Linked DNA regions of Neodiprion lecontei. The main gene of each other region encodes a partner of the protein of the gene in region 2 in a complex. Links are inferred from orthologs where the notes say so. Each region holds a gene or a part of one and is shown on either strand. Other genes may lie near its edges.

Region 1 (8,805 bases), on a different chromosome or scaffold from region 2:
AAACTACACTGCGGCCATGAGACAACAAAAAGCATTATTGATGGAACAAAGCAATGTTACATTGAAGATAAATAAAATGCATATTAGTTTTATAATTAGTAAAGCCAAAAATTAAAATACAGCTCATTCAATCCAGCAACTCCCTGGCAATCTTGGTTTCCCAGTTTTGTCTATCAACTAGATATTCCAGCACTAAACTTGATGACAAAAAGTTAAATGTATCGCTTATAACGTAATCTCACAGATATTCAGATTGAAAAAAATAAATGTTATGTAATCTACACTAAAATGTATCATAATGTGTGAACAGCGATACCACTGATTAATATAAATGAAATGTAACTAACCATTGAGAAATCTAAATGACTCATGTCAATATCCGGCAAAGCAGGGGCAGCGAATGACATTGAAACAGACGACTGATCCTGTACGTCCTTATATTTCTATGTTAGAAAGATCAGTCACAGCCCAACCCAGGAAGCGATTTATATGCAATATAAAAATATTAAAGTTAGAGTTTAGATAGCAAATGAAAGATATAAATATGAAAATACAAACCAGTTTATGCATAAGGCTTACATTAAATCTATTGTACTCACGAATTAATAATTTGGCCGTTTATTAGGTATAGCTGGTATTAGTGACTAGACATTTGGTTAAACGTGATTTAATCCACACTATCACATATTTGTCACTTGCTCGTATCACATGTTCGGCTCCTGCCGAATGGGTTTCTCTTCCTTTCTACCCGTCAACGACTCCTTTATAATATATCCACATCCCACGAACACGAGCCCGTCGGCAACTGATTTAAACTAACAGTAATCAAATTTTCCAACCACAACTCGCCGAGTGACTGCGGCCGAGAATGCGTCACCGACAGCTACGGTCGCGACGTGATGACGTCGGTACGATTAATCTGTTCGAAATTGTTGCCGGGCGACTCGAACGAGCATATACCTATATATCCCTGAGGAAGTCCTCCTGAGAGTACCATAGTAATTAGACAACATAGCGCGTCATACGGCTGAGTCGTTATCCGATCACATTCATATTTCGCAACAACCCGACCTCCGATCTTGGTGTGATATATCAATTCCTCGTGTATGGACAGAGCAGCGCGGTCACGTGACTCAAAACAGCTGTGGAAGCTGTGGAAGGGGAGCCGTGATTCACAATCGAAATCACTTGAAATCATGATCATCGAGCTTAGATAGATCGTTGACTGAAGACGCTTTTTCCAAAACAGCGTTGTGATTAAGGAGAAATATTTCGAACGATTTCATTTTCATCATTCCTTAAAATTTTCCAGATTAGCTGGTTAATAAATGTTTTGAAACAAAATACGACGCTTTTTTTACGAGTACACCAATGCGCGGGACGAAAGATATTCGAATCTACCGCTAACGAATTTTACGATAAACGTAGGTAAAAATCAAATGGTTATCGGATAATTGATCGGCAATTAGCGTACTTAGATATTTAAATATTCCGAAAAGCTGATTAATGTACATTAATTGTCCCGTATATTCTTATTACAAAGACAAGCCAACCCTTTACACGGAGATATAATTTGGCTTGATGTATTTTCAACGAACGTAGAGATGATTGACTTTATTATCAGTATAGATATAAACTATTTCAAAATAGTTACAATTTCCAATAAAAACATTAGCTTATTGTTAAATGATAAATGTATCGTACCATACATATAATACAACAATTATACAATATGTTGTAAATACGTATAAATATAAACTGCATTTGTACTGCAGCTTATGAAGAATCAATAAAATATTGAAAAAATAAAGAACTTACAAGCTATTCTATTGAAAAATGAAATAAAAAGATTGCGCAAGTCGCATTCTTTCCAAGATTTTGATGTTCAAATAGTATCCAGCTAGTTTTAATTAAAAAGAATGTTATCGCTCGATTCATTTCTGTTTACGTTACAAAATTACAATAAACTACGTCCTATAAATATCGGCATTACTCAATCTATCTATTACAATTCGTTTCCTAGAGCCAATACAAGATTTGGATCAGAGGTACTTTGATTTACATATGCGTATAAAATAAAAAATATTTCCTGATTGGCTCTACTGGTTTTAATATTAAAATCAGGTAGCCTCAAACAAACTAATACCACTATTAAGTGTACACGATATTCTAGAGATAATATTACACTATCGAAAATAATCAGTTTATGGAAATACGCGTCTCAGAGTTCGACTTACCGAATAACATATACATATACTATTATGAAACTACCTTCGATTCACGGCAAGCTTAGACAGTAAGAAAATACTCGCAATCCTTGTTTATTTCCAAGCATCGTTATTGCTGTGCTTGACCCATTTTATACACATCGTGATAAGCATTACGTATTAACGCATATGGGAAACAGCTCTCCAATAAATCCATGGTTAGAAAGGGTGATTCTTGAACGATCTGATCGAGGAGAAGGTACACAGATTCTCTATTCTTTGTTGCCTCTTTGTCTGCCTCCTGCCCTAATCTCAAAAGACTGGATGATGCCAGTGCCAAGAACTCCTTCATTCTGTCTTCAATGTCGTTTTGACCACATATCGTGAACAGTGCACCGAATATATTGTTTATGGCAGTGGCCATGCAATGTATATTGTTAGAATGCCCCTCCAATGAAGCCCTATAGAACGAGTTTTCGTTGCGAGCTAATTTCGGAATGGAAACAGCGACGAATACCATTAACAAACAGACTAAAAGATGCTCGTCTTCATCTGCTTCAGCTTTTTGACTCCTCAAAGCTGCTGCTAGGGTTGGATCAACTTTGCACGTCAGCCCCGCAGCAGATGTCATTTCGGAAACAATCCTCATCGGATCGCCCGAAGGCAAGTGGTGCCGAAAGTCTAATATAGAGCTGAGCAAAAATGGAATCCGCTCCTCCAAAACGTCGACCAAAGCTGCCTGGGCTAATTGTCTGAAGCTCAAAATCACCCCAACTATTGTAACCCTTTGAAGAACATTGTCGACTTGCTGTAGCCTTTTGAATTGTTCCTTCATCACTTCAGGCTTATCAAAATTCGTTCTCAATGCAACTAAGACGTCCTTATTACCAGCTACTAATTTTTTCAGTTCTTGCACCTGACTCGCGATGTGCCACATCAGTGTTTCATTCAACATTTTCATACCGTAAGGTCCAATCAGTTCGGCAAGAGCCCTGAGTTCGTTGATATCAGAAAATTCCTCAGCGTTGAAGGGAATCGCACTCTCGGCTGTGAGGCTGACGAATGCTCTTTGATTTCCTGAATAGCAAATGTTTCCTGCGCTTACTCGTCTCAACAACACTTCGGAGTACCACTGCATGTACAACGAAGCTATAGTTTTGTCCCCGTGGCTATCGAGCTGTTGAGTTTGTTGCAACAAAGCATTATTAAAAACTCTAGTTATATCGATGTGAACGTAGTTTTCGACAGTTTGCAATACATTCATGTAAGCTCTAACGCTGACAAATAACTCTGATGGTTTAGCAATGACGCTAGTATCCGGATTGAACATCACCATACCAACTAAAGCTTTGGCGAATCGTGTTTCCAAGTGTTGATGTAAGTACTCCCTAGGAGCAAATGTATATTCCCACACATTGATGGTGGGGCAAGAATTTATTGCGAAACACAATTCTGTTAGAGCCATGTGAAGTTTGTCCATTGTCGTAAGGTCTTCTCGCGTTTTTCTGTAGCTTTCAATACCGGGTTTATGAATCTCGTACATATTTTTCTTGTTCTTATCTTTTTTCTTGCGATTCACTACTTGAGATATTTGCGCTGCACAGTGCTTAGGCAGAAGCTTATCTGACATTGTACACTGCTCGTCGCAAATTATGGTTATTATATTTTTAGCCTCTTTGGCCATTTCGTCCAAAAACATGTTAACAACAGACAGACTTCTTTCTCTGATATGATGACGTTCTTCGGGGCAAAGTTCATGCGTACAGCTTTGAAAATGGCTACACATCAATGGAAAAGCAACAATGTATCGATTCTGGGCAGGAAATTCTAAACACATGTGAAATTGATCTTCGAATATCTTGCTGTAAAAGCAAAATATCGAGAGATCGGAAGTTTCCACCAACATCTCGTCTAAATTGTCAACCATTTTGGTGTGAAAAATAATACCGTCCATAAACGAAGCCAATTCCCTGTTATCCGCGAGATTCATATTGCACTTTGCAACCGACATATAAGCCTGCAATCTAAACCAGTCAAGCCTGAATGCACGAAAATCAAACAACTCGTTATCCTCGACCTGTTTTACTGTTAAACTCGCAATTGAAGAGCACATGTCGCTCAGAATGGCTCCTTCATCCTCAGGACACACAGGCAAATTTTGTATCATTTGATGCAGAGCTGGTGCGTCAAATCCAGCCAAAAATTGGACGTAATATCGTTGCAGGACTTGGGAATACTTTCTAACAAGAGCGCGCAATTCCTCGCAGTGAAACAAGAGTTCAGGGAGCTGCCTGTCGACGAGGTCATCGCCTCCACGACCCTTTCCTTTTCCCTGAATAGGTGGATTGTCACCGTGTCTCAAGAGCCACAGCACCTCGTCTCGGGCATGAGATAATCCCATGAACACTAGCAGAGCTTTTGGGCCCAAGAGCCCTGGATGATCGGATAATATCAGCCCCAACTCCTTCAGGGCTGTTCTCAAAAATTTTCGCCTTTCTCGATGCCTGTGTCCAGCTTTCTGAATGGCTTGACTGTAGCAGTCCTTCACTTCAGATACTCTCTTGCTGTACCCTTTCATGCTTTCAAAAAACGACTGAATGTATTGGTGAATATATATGACTTCGTCTCTAAACAGAGCTAAAACCCATCCTGATTCGAGGGCGGTGGTCCATAGTTTACTGGGTTGCTCCTGGTTGAGGACCGTGTGACAAAGAGTGAAACCGAGGACAACCCATCTTTCTAATCTATCTAAGCTCAACGTTTCACAGGACATCGTGTCCGTAACGGCAGCTTTAAGCAGCTGCCCTGGACTACCGACGAGGCTAAGTTTCTTGTCGGCTCTCCATGTGTCTGCCGATAAATTTCTTCCAGGGTAAATTGGCCACAGCGACATCAGCGCATTTATCAGTAATTTACCATGCGGCACAAACTCTTCGGACAATTTCTTGAGCGGCGCATCGTAGTCCATGATCATCTGGCCTAGTCTCGGAAAGCTGGGATCTGACTGGCTGTGGACCATTTCGTGGGCCGCGTTGAACAGGCCTAAGACAGCTTTTCGATCCTCAACTCTGGACAGAAGTATCATCAGGCTTACGTAGGTGATTACCAGGTCCAGGTAGCCCTTTGTCACGTCAAAATTTATCGTTATGTCCATGTGAACTCCGCAAGCGTCCATCGTAGTCAGCAGTTCACAGACGTTGTCCTTGAAGTCAAGAAGGTCAACAAAGGTGTAGTAGTAGAGGGACAGAGACTTGATAATCTCGGTGCGAAGGTTCGTTATCGCAGCCAGTCCCTTGATGTCGATATTGGGAAATCTTCGGATTATGTATTTAATCGCAGACTCCAACGTTTTGTCGGACAGAAACGCAGGCTTGGATTTGGCATCGCCGCATGCTTTTTTTATGTTGTAAATACGAGTAAGCATACCGGTGCCTCTGTCGTTCAATATAGCCAGTTTCTCAGCCAGCTTCTGCTGGCTAGGAATAATTGGTCGCGCCATATTCGTGGCCTGCTTGTCAATGAACGGCGGTGAATCAGTAGAATCGCCTCATAATTTATTGAACCAAGTGTCAACTGTGTTTCCGGATGACAGGAGACCCCACCCAGGGGTAGCTTGTAGGCTTGACAGGATTTCCAACGTAATTTCGGCGCACAGCGATTTCTGAAATATAACTGATCGATTATACTAACTCGAGTGAGCTTTTTTGACGGTTGTACAACGAAGTGAAATGTTTTCTTACCAAATTTATCATTTCATTGCAACATTGTCACAAAATTATTAACACCCACTACACATCGATGTGTAAACTTACTCACCACTTTAAGTTATCAGTCCTTAAACTCAGCTGCGGCGCTCTCTTGTTCACTGCATCCAACTGCTGTGTGGGGAAATATTCCTCACTAGGTTCCTCAATCTCGCGCAGGCAGTCGGTATGAATCGCTTTTACCAACCGAGAGAAGGGGCAAACCATATGACCATACCGAATACGTTAATGAGAGTATTTTGAAGACAAAATCCATCACGCGTCAAAAAGTGCACAGTGCAATTCCATATTACGGCGTATCACAGAGTATTGTTATGTAACTGTGGATATGCTACATCTTTACGTATTTTTCCGCCTTATGAACTCGCAGTGAAATAGTATCCGCCTGAGCATAGGCAATTCACATTACTTCCATAAGTTCGCAATCAGAAGTTTGTCTTGTAACTGGATTCGAGTCCATGCGTTCTCAACAAAGCTTGTAATTATTAATTGTTTACTTTCGCACACAAATATTGAGCGGGTTTAAGTTTCCATTGTACACATAGCACTACTGTTGTTCACTGACTCGTTTCTAACTGGTCTTTAAAGCTTGGTCGATGTGGTCAGTTGTCTGTACACAAGAGGATCTTCTATCCCGTTGTTCCGCCACGCCGCACGCTGGCTTTAAGATTTCAGTAGCTGGTGTGAAAAAAGTGAATAATATTTTATGACAATAATAAAAAAAAAAATCAAAAATTCACCAGAATGTTCATACCAAAACGTGATTGAAATACTCGGACATAAAATAGAAACGAATCGAGGAAAGGGTTTTTAGGAATCACAAGAACATCCGTTGAAAAATCTTATTGGCATTGTTATGTACAAAAATTAGATGAATGAATCTTTATACAAAGATGTGAAGAATGAAAAGCTTGAGAAAAAAATATACGCACTCCATTGAGGTGAAATTATTTTTGCTATTTCCCTAAATGAATTTCAGAGACACGAAAAAGATGTTGAAGTAAAACCCTTCTGGCAACGTACAGGTCCGTCATATGTGTTGTGATGGTGCTGAGAGAATACTGGTTGCAGAAATAAATATTATTATTCATGAGCAGCAAGATCGATTTCTAAGCCTACTGCAATAAATCTGAATATAGTTTCCATGCAAGTTCTGCGTTATAGGGATGGGTTCTCAGCTGCCGGGCCTTAGCGTGTTAAAGTTTCAAGCCACAGCTCCATGCACCTTACGCTACGGTATTACCGTACATTAAGAACCTCTACAGAAATTACCTACGTATATCCGTATATAGGCGCTGGCTTCCCTATGGCCTCGTTCATCGAATATCGACGTGCCAGAAACCTATTAAAACCGGCACAAATATATTACAATCCGTTCACTACTCCCTAACCAACCAGCAATCGAGAGACGTCCGAGTACAGTAACAACGATCGCTGCCGCACGTTTAAATCGTTGAAACTATATCGTATGTTCTATACTTGAAATTTTCCGCGCAAGTGTGGACATATGAAATTGCAAGACATATTGCGGTTACTGACTTCGATTTTATTACCAGAAGTACGATTTATGGTAACGATCGAACGAGATTGATTGGCTGCGGTATTTAAAAATTATTATAGCAATTTTGCTTTCTCGTTAATCAGTTTTTTTTCTTTCCTGACGATGTTTCAATTACTCTAAATTACTTTGCACTACTCATTTTTTCCCATAAGTACACATTCCATCGTACATGTATACTAATTTAGTGAAAATTTTTCCACATCTCTAGTTTCCTGTTTAATCCATGTTGACGTGACTCGGACAGGTAGATTTTCATTCGGAGCAATCACAAAATTCACGGAGCATTAACCTTGGCTAGGGGGGAAGATAGGAGAATGAGGGGAAAGGGTGAGGGATGTTAAGGGTTCGTAGTTGCCGGCTGGAGGAGGATAGGGGGAGAGGAGGAGAGGTTGCACTATCTGCAGATCCATGCTATTTGCGCAAAGTGGCCTCCACCCTGAAACCACCTACGTTTAGGTGGTTGGGAGGGTAATACATTGTTTGCTCTTCGTTCACTAAACTAAACCGCATTCGGAATTAATTGCACGTTAGGAGGCCGCGGGATAATTAAACCCGTTTGCTTACCCGTTTCCCGGCTGCATCCTATCTGGTTTGTTGCATTTTTCAACCGGACATCTTGTCCCGAAAAATCTGATCCAACACGCTTTACTTCTAATTAGGAGCAACGGCCAGATGCAGTTGTATGCAGCGTAGGATTTCCATAAGTTTTACCGTGTGAAATAGAATTTCATTCTTTGAATCATGCGATGTATCAAATAATTATTTGCTGCATCAGTAATTCCGATAATGAGCGTTCTGCGAAGAAAAAATATACCACGCGGTTCAGGGACATTTATAAAATGTAGAAGTTTTCACCCTTGCAGTTCACTGGACCCTGGATCTTATACAGTATAGAAAACGGTTGAACGGTTTTCGCGTTATAGCGTCGATGACATCGTAGTCGGATAATCTTCGCCCAGAGCGAAGTTGCAGTCTGAAGGGTTGGCTTTCCGACAGCAACGATCGGGGGATTATTACAGAACCCGATGTAGGAAGCTGCGACACAGATTTCGATTTCATGACGTTCCGTCTGGTTGTTAGGGCAGCAGACACAGTCAAAGAGTCGGATATCGACGCATCGATCTTGAACGGTGCGGCTTCGGGATGGCTGGTGCGGACTAGGCAAGAGAGGATCCAAGAGGGTGATGGGGCTCAGGAAGGGGTGGTCCCGACGCGTCAGCACTTTAGTCTCGTTAATGACGTCATTTACCAGTCTCGGGGCGCCGACCGGCGA
Region 2 (7,568 bases):
ACTCTACCTTTGCAATAAGGGCGAGGTAATATGTTCTGAAATGGTGCTGCATGGAGCAAGTCGCAAACTTCTTCTTGTGACAAAGCTTGCTCCATTAATAGACAGAATAATATAGTGTTGCCAAATTCGCGAAAGTTGTGAAACAGTTCAGTCTTTGCATCAGGATACTGAACAATGTCGTTCAACTGGGCATGGTAGTAGCCTAAAACACCTGGAGATCCGTAATCATATCTCGGGAGTTTACACACTTTTGGCATTGCTTCCATTAGGGTCTTAGTAAACTGCAGGAGGTTTCCTTGGATGAGAGATTTCACTATTTTTAATAATTCTTCCATGACTACAGCAATCCCTTGATATCCAAGAAGTTTGCACATTGTACGGAAGTGGTATGAGCCAACAAAGCCCGTGTATTGACCATACTGAGTGCTATATGCAAGATTTAATTGTTTACTGCCCCATAAATAATGGTAAGACATCATAGGTGGCTTATCTCTGTGCACCGGTTGTGCAAATTGAAGACCTCGACATTTGACAAATCTGTTGAAGGAAATACGAAATAATGACAACATGTTCGTAAGGTAATATTCGCAACATTGATATGAATATACCTATTTGTGGCAGCATTGTAACAGTAATTTGGCAAGAAGTCATAATTTAGCTCCCAAAATACGTGAAGAGTAATTCTACCATATGGGGCAAGAACGTTGTGATTAGCTTCTCTGAACATTGCATCATATTCATCCAATGCCAACCATTTGCTCAAAAGTTTATGAGTGAGGCGGTTGACTTGTAGCAAACCTTCTAATTCCTACACAATAAAAAGTTTGGTATAAAGAGCAGTCGATCAGCTAGAAAAATGTGATAATTGACTCGCAAAACTTTGGCTTACCACAACACCTGTAATATCACCAGATTCGAATTTGCTAACAGCCAAATCCAAAGATTTTTGCATATCAGCATTGATTCGTTGTGTGATCAACTTATTGAGATCAATGCTTCTTCCTAACAGTTGTACGTGCCGTTGTTTTAATAATGTTTCATATCTGTTTGCTCGAGGATATGGCAGTAAGTAAGCCCCAAGAGCAACGCATTCAACGCGAAATCTCTTATCAAGCAAAATGCTGGCTGCCAATTGCTTGTAATGAGCGAAAATTTGTTCACTTAGCTTGTAGACGAATTGGTCAAAGCATAGGTTTACTTCTGCCTCAACTTCATCATAAAGGAATTGCTTTCGAAATATTGTTAACGCGTATAATGCACTGTCGTTGTACAGATCCAAAGGGTACAATACGAATCTGGAATTTAAAAGCATGAACAGTTGACGTAGGTCAATGATTAATTTCAAAGACAAAATCTACTGGAAATTTTACAGTAATCTCACTCACTCCATCATTGAAGGTTCTTTGCTTCTAAGAATATGGTCAGTCAGGATCCATGGCATCGACATTTCAATCGGGAACTGGAACATAAAAATTCATTTAATTTAACTTTAAATGGTGTTTCTAATCCAATGTTAGTAACATTTTGCACACAAAATAAAAGAAAGATTAATTTATAGTGGCAAAGACAGCACAGCAACCAACACGAAATGATGCAAGCTAAAAAATCAAGATCTACGTCCAAGAATTATTGTGTAGAGCCTTGGCACAGTACGTATTATCATTTCATTTAAAATCACTGTACATTATAATATTTAATGTATGTATACGGAGTTGCAGATGAGTATTCAAATTAATCTATTTTTAAAATCATCCACTTCGTTATACCTACTATTACCTCAAATAGCATAACAATCACATTACTTGTTTGGATAATTCTTCTTGCAGTAAACTTTTGTCAATAGAAATAAGATACCATGAACGCATGTACGAAGCAGAAAATTTGATCAAGCAATCACCCATTTTGAGTCAGAGGTATAATAATTGGTTTATTCAAATTAAATTACTATTACTTATGGTATTTCCCAGTGAGGCGTGCAATTCCAACAAAAAACGGTACTAGAAAACGAACGCAACAATAACAATAACGTAGCTACAACAGATGGTGGTTACTTGGTGTGTACCTGAATGCGTTTCTCCATGGTGATCAAGTCGCTGCATTCTTCATTATGCTGATGACGCACTTGGCATTTCTATTCATGAAATCAATTACACACGGTTCTATTTGTCTGATATTGTGAAGGTCATGAACATCTACTAACATTGAATATATTGTGTAGGTCTAGTGAATCGATACCAGTATTTTATCAACTATAATTAAACAGAATGGTGACTGACTCTTTAAAAATAGTCAATTATGGCACGTCGGCTTTCAAATCGCGTGATTAATTATTAGGTCTTGTTATATAGTAGTTTTCTAATATTTATGTTTACCTGAATCCTCCGGCCCATGGTCATCTCAAGGTAGAATTCACGGTACCAGAGTTGTGATAGATCACAGCAGTTCTGCAATGACTCTGGAATAAGAGTTATTAATTGACAGTAAAAAGGTAAAATGATAACAATATACGTTTTGTAGTTCAAAATATGAAATGATACAGCGTGTACATACAGTTGTACATACGAGTGACTTACCGCTAAAACTAAGCAAGTAATTCCAGTAAAAACTTGTTTTATGAAATTGATCGATCTGCACGAGATATTGCCCATCTATATCCTTTCTCAGCGTTCTCTTACCTCCGCTCTTATCTGCAATTAGTGACTCCAACATCGTACGTACCATGTACAATTGAGTCGATGATGGACCTTCAAACAATTCGGAATAAATCTCATTATGTGTACAATGGCCACGAATCAATATCTTAGTAATATTTATAATTGCAAAAAAATGTGTGAACCAAACTTACCAACATTTCTTCTTGGAACTTTAATGACAAAACCATTGTCTGGATCTTTTTTGCCCTTTAAAGCTGGGTCCGCTACAGGTTCAACGCCTTTTTGCCAATCTGCACAAGTCTCTCGGACCGATACAATTATACTTCGAATCAAATCTTTTTTATTCTTGGTAGCCTTTCTGAGTGGTTCTCTTAAAATCAATTGTACAAAGTCCTGTAGTTCAGCGTAAATGTTTCTGCGTATAGCATCGATAAAGACAGTTTCCATGCGAGCCATCAGAACTTGCAGGCCCTTGATCATAGCTATAACTTCAATCAGAGCAAACTTTTCTTCATCTGTGTAATTGTATCGGGTTGCCTACAGAAATTGAACTTGTTATTCATTGACCTTGCTTGGATTGCAGGTAGTCGATTAATTATTAATACGACGGTTGGCTAAGAATGTGAAACATATTATCAATTTAATTTTAGAACTTTACCAACCCGTTCATACTCTTCAGCTTCTTGCGGACATTCTTTATTCATGTGATGGTCCGTAGGATGAAGTAATTTCCAGCTATACAGTTCTGTAACAACGCTGGTCCACTGCGATAACAGTTGTAATCCTCGCAATGCCAATTCAGCTGTTTCTCTATTTTCCCCATCACTTCCACACTCCTTATACGTTGTTGTTACTTCATTACTGTACCTGAACAGAAAGTTAAATGGATTATTATAAATACAAACGTAAGTATGAAGACTTTCCAAAATTGAATAATCGTGTACGTTCAGTGTTGATATTATGAGTAATACCTCGCCAATTCGCTGATGTATTTGACGTGATCTTCTCTGATTTGAGGAAGGTGTACCATAAGATCTGCTTGTGGACTCATACTGTTAGAAGAAGATGAAAGTGGCCACTTTGAAGAGTCGAAGTGCTTCGACCGTTTGATGTAATTGAAGGGAGCAATTTGCATATCTCCAAACAGTGGTACGACCTCCAAGTTTTTAAATATTCTATCAATCCTGTCTAGTTTCAACTTCTTTTTTTGATCCAACTTATTAATGTTACACAAGTCACTGTCCATCAGAAATAACCCAAAGCCCATGACCTTAACAAGCATGTGCTTTTCATTTGGTGTTAAATACATCTTCGTTTCGAACATGTGTACACAAATATTAACTACATCTGCTAGAAGCTCTTCATACCCAGCAATTTTCTCTAGATTTTCTTTTACGGTGTCACGAATTTTATTTTGCGTTGCCAGAAACAATGACAAATTCTGAGACTCTTGAAGAGTTTGCGAATCAGTCATTACTTTCAAAAACTGAGCAGCTCTGAAATAAAATAATGTAGTTGGTGATACAAATAAATTGTTAATATTGATTAGAGATTGTTCTCAACTTTTAACTGTTTACTTTTGCTTAAAGTATATATACCCATACCTTCTGTACGTTGAATAATCATTCTTAACACTCGATTTCATATTTTTTAATTCATCGAGAACAGCAAACATATTAATGAATTTTCCAAGAGTTAGTAGGTATGCTTCAGAGACAAAATCCTTTCGCTTCTCATGGTGACACAAGCGCTTAACTTCAGCAGAAAACCTTTCAATAGCTTTTCTCTGATTTAACAAAGAGAAATATGATTATAACTATTTTCCATTTTCATTTATGATGTATATTAAATTTGTAGCTTCTGTATTTTAGTTAGGATAAAAAATCACCCACTTGAAAATACATAAAGTTCAGCAACTTGTTCACTTCAGGTGCTAAGACCTCAACTGTTTTCTCATATATTTCAACACGATTTGGCTGCTCATTGGATTTTGGTTGAGGAATTGCTCGAGAACAACATCTCCAGGTATATAACATTACCGCATGCTCTAGACCTTCTTCGAGTAGTTCGTTCTGTAGGTAAAAAATAAAGAAAATAACAGTAATTATCCAACTATTATAGGGTTGATCATAATGTGAACTGAATAAATTTACCAAACTAGCGTGTACAGTTGCCTCTTCAATGTACTTGGCAATACCAGTGACAAACCCATTTCTATCTTCAAAATTTGTATCAAAATTAGCTTGATAAACAACGGAGCACGGTTGGGCTTCAATGCAAGGCTGCTCATCAGGCAGGGTAAATTCGTCGAGTACATCGACATTTGATAAAGCATCAGCCAATGTTACCTTATCGGTAGCCATTGCTGTGTTTTGCTATAGTCTAAAATTGAATTATAAAATAGGTGTAAAGCGTCAAATCGAAGGATTTAATATGTGTAAAGATTGCAGCTAAAGATTGCGCACATACAATTTCGGAAAAGTAGACTACATAAAATTTAGGTAGAACGTAGAGATTATTGTATTTTTTAATAGCAAGTTTGAAATACACTCGAATTATTTAACAGACGAGCTCTGTTTACTCTTGGGAAGATCAGTAAATGTCCTCTTTGTTGTCGAGGTTATATTTATAAGATGAGTAATCAAACAAGGAAATGAAAGTGGGAAATAATCATTTGGTTAACGTGATTAAAGACAAGCCAGTGTCAGGTATGTGAAATTTTTTATTTAATATTTCACGAATTTTATTCATAAGACATACCTTCACAATAATTTGTCACAGTTGAAAAAATTGACAACAAACGTCACCCGACAACTCCACCCCAAGGTAAAGAGTACTCAAGAGACTTCTGGGAAAAGTCATTGTTCCATGGGAATTTATCATTCCTACCAAACCCTGAGAAAAAAAGGCCCACGCGTAGCTGCATGGTGAAATGTAATTTAAACAGAGCAGCAGGAAGCAGTTCTACACGGACCGTTGGTGAGTATTGAAATACAGCTAATGATAAATATGGCACGGGAAGGAGGAAATTGATAAACCAGAACCTAGAGTTGGGTAAATTTTAAAATTTATTCGAAAGTCTTTTAGACGGATAATTAGATCTATATGTATAATAATAAACCTCTATTCTATATTACAAATAATTTACAATATGGATGACAATATAATTTTACAATTTTCAAAAAATTGCACATATTTTTTCATTTTTTTTTTTACCTGGCTCGGTTTCGATAGAGAATTCTATTGACTATTCATTCATTCTCGCACCAACAAATTAAATAGCAATAACAATTACGTTGAAATAATAATATAAAAGAAAAGTTGAAATTAATAGAATCTACAATGTTCAGGGATATCTCCAAATTTGTTATCTACAACTCGCTATATAAATATATATGTGTACTGCAGTTATCAAATTAATATGAAATTGTGTGCGCATATTAAATGATGAGGTAAATTAAAAAGTGAGAATATTTTCCAATAGCGTGAAAATTAAAAGAATCAAAAGTAATAAATTAGGAGTAGAGAAAATTAGAAATAAACGTATATTCAAATCAATAATAAATGAATTCAGTAATTAATTACTATTAAAATGTGCAACCTTAATAATATCACATTGAGAAACGTTACATGTGTGTAATTATAATAATAAAATGCGAGAGATAAAAGCGTTCCAAAAATATGGCTTTGATATCATCAAAGTAAATTTAAAACTAAGACCATGTTTTTCAAATTTCACACACCACAGGTCATGATGCTCATAGACTCATGAATTGCCCAATCAATATCGTAGACATATGCCCTACAATTTTCATGTATCTAAAAAAAGCATTGAATCTCTTTTAATTGTAATGTTCAAACTCAACGACTAAGTCTCATTTTTAGGATCTATTAGATTATCTTGGCCACGTGTGTTTATTCTTGCTTTACTAAATATAACTTTCTTGTTTGGTTTTCAACTACTCAATGAACATTGCTACGCAATCACCAACTGGTACACAGATAGAATCAAAATTTCACCAATGTACCTTGTTTAGCTCTACTGCTGGTATCTCAGAATTGATACCCACACGATAAACTGTTTTTTTTTTTTTTATAAAACTACTATGATCAGTAGTTCAAAATATGAGACATACAGACACGTGTTCATGTTTCAAACTTTCGTAATTAATTACATTCGTGATGGTTGTCATATAGTTCGATCCGTTGCACTTCTGGATATTTTTTCTATATACTGTCTAGTGTTAATAGCGGTTTATAATGCGTACCATCGGCCTCTATTCACACATCACACAATTAATGGCTAAAAAACTATTATTATCAACTATAGACAAAACCTAGTACACTCTGCAAACTATAAGTACAAATATTTGAATAACAACAAACAGTGTTGGAACAATATATCTCACACCCCTTGCACGTGCGTGGAAACAAAATAAACGAAATCAAACGAACCAGCAGCATGCTTTCAAAGTTGTACGTACACATTATCTTCTATAAGTGTATGTAGACGGATAATTGTTAATTAGGTTCTGAATGATTTTCGTTGCAATGCACAACAAAAAATTTTCCTGAAAATTTATTCCGAATAAAATCAACAAAAACTGTTCTATATTTGCGTTACATTCCCCAGATATGGTCGAAAAATATCGCGATAAATGGCAAGAATCGTTAATAGGTACATCAAAGTAGATTTTTTAGTAACGATCACGCTGTCACTACTGAAAACTGTAATATTATAAAAGTGATTCTGCTTAGGTGATATGGTTTTCGACTAAAAATATTAGATATAGTGGCTTGAATTTGGCTCTTTAGTTTTATGAATTCTCTGTTGTGATCCGTTCGTGAATAAAATATACAAAAAAACAGTTTTACTGTACTTTCCGGAAAATTGTTTCAAATGAGAAAATTTAC

What was found.
Region 1: cytoplasmic FMR1-interacting protein (region 2) and membrane-associated protein Hem share a complex: the UniProt entries of both Drosophila melanogaster proteins name them as parts of the WAVE complex. The link is inferred for Neodiprion lecontei from reciprocal best matches to the Drosophila melanogaster genes Cyfip and Hem.

The regions. Positions count from the first base shown.
Region 1 is NC_060262.1:26,025,084-26,033,888, forward strand, and holds membrane-associated protein Hem, read right to left. Parts: upstream 6,122-8,805; 5' UTR 6,024-6,121; exon of another isoform or gene 5,948-6,023; intron 5,880-5,947; exon of another isoform or gene 5,869-5,879; 5' UTR 5,707-5,868; coding exon 2,338-5,706; 3' UTR 2,334-2,337; downstream 1-2,333. UniProt on the Drosophila melanogaster protein: Plays a role during growth of the oocyte.
Region 2 is NC_060265.1:7,519,294-7,526,861, forward strand, and holds the start of cytoplasmic FMR1-interacting protein, read right to left. Parts: upstream 5,509-7,568; 5' UTR 5,415-5,508; intron 5,037-5,414; 5' UTR 5,018-5,036; coding exon 4,808-5,017; intron 4,727-4,807; coding exon 4,547-4,726; intron 4,441-4,546; coding exon 4,259-4,440; intron 4,151-4,258; coding exon 3,626-4,150; intron 3,522-3,625; coding exon 3,317-3,521; intron 3,192-3,316; coding exon 2,846-3,191; intron 2,745-2,845; coding exon 2,574-2,744; intron 2,456-2,573; coding exon 2,373-2,455; intron 2,132-2,372; coding exon 2,063-2,131; intron 1,460-2,062; coding exon 1,386-1,459; intron 1,296-1,385; coding exon 890-1,295; intron 809-889; coding exon 609-808; intron 538-608; coding exon 8-537; intron 1-7. UniProt on the Drosophila melanogaster protein: Plays a role in guidance and morphology of central and peripheral axons and in synaptic morphology. Also required for formation of cell membrane protrusions and for bristle development.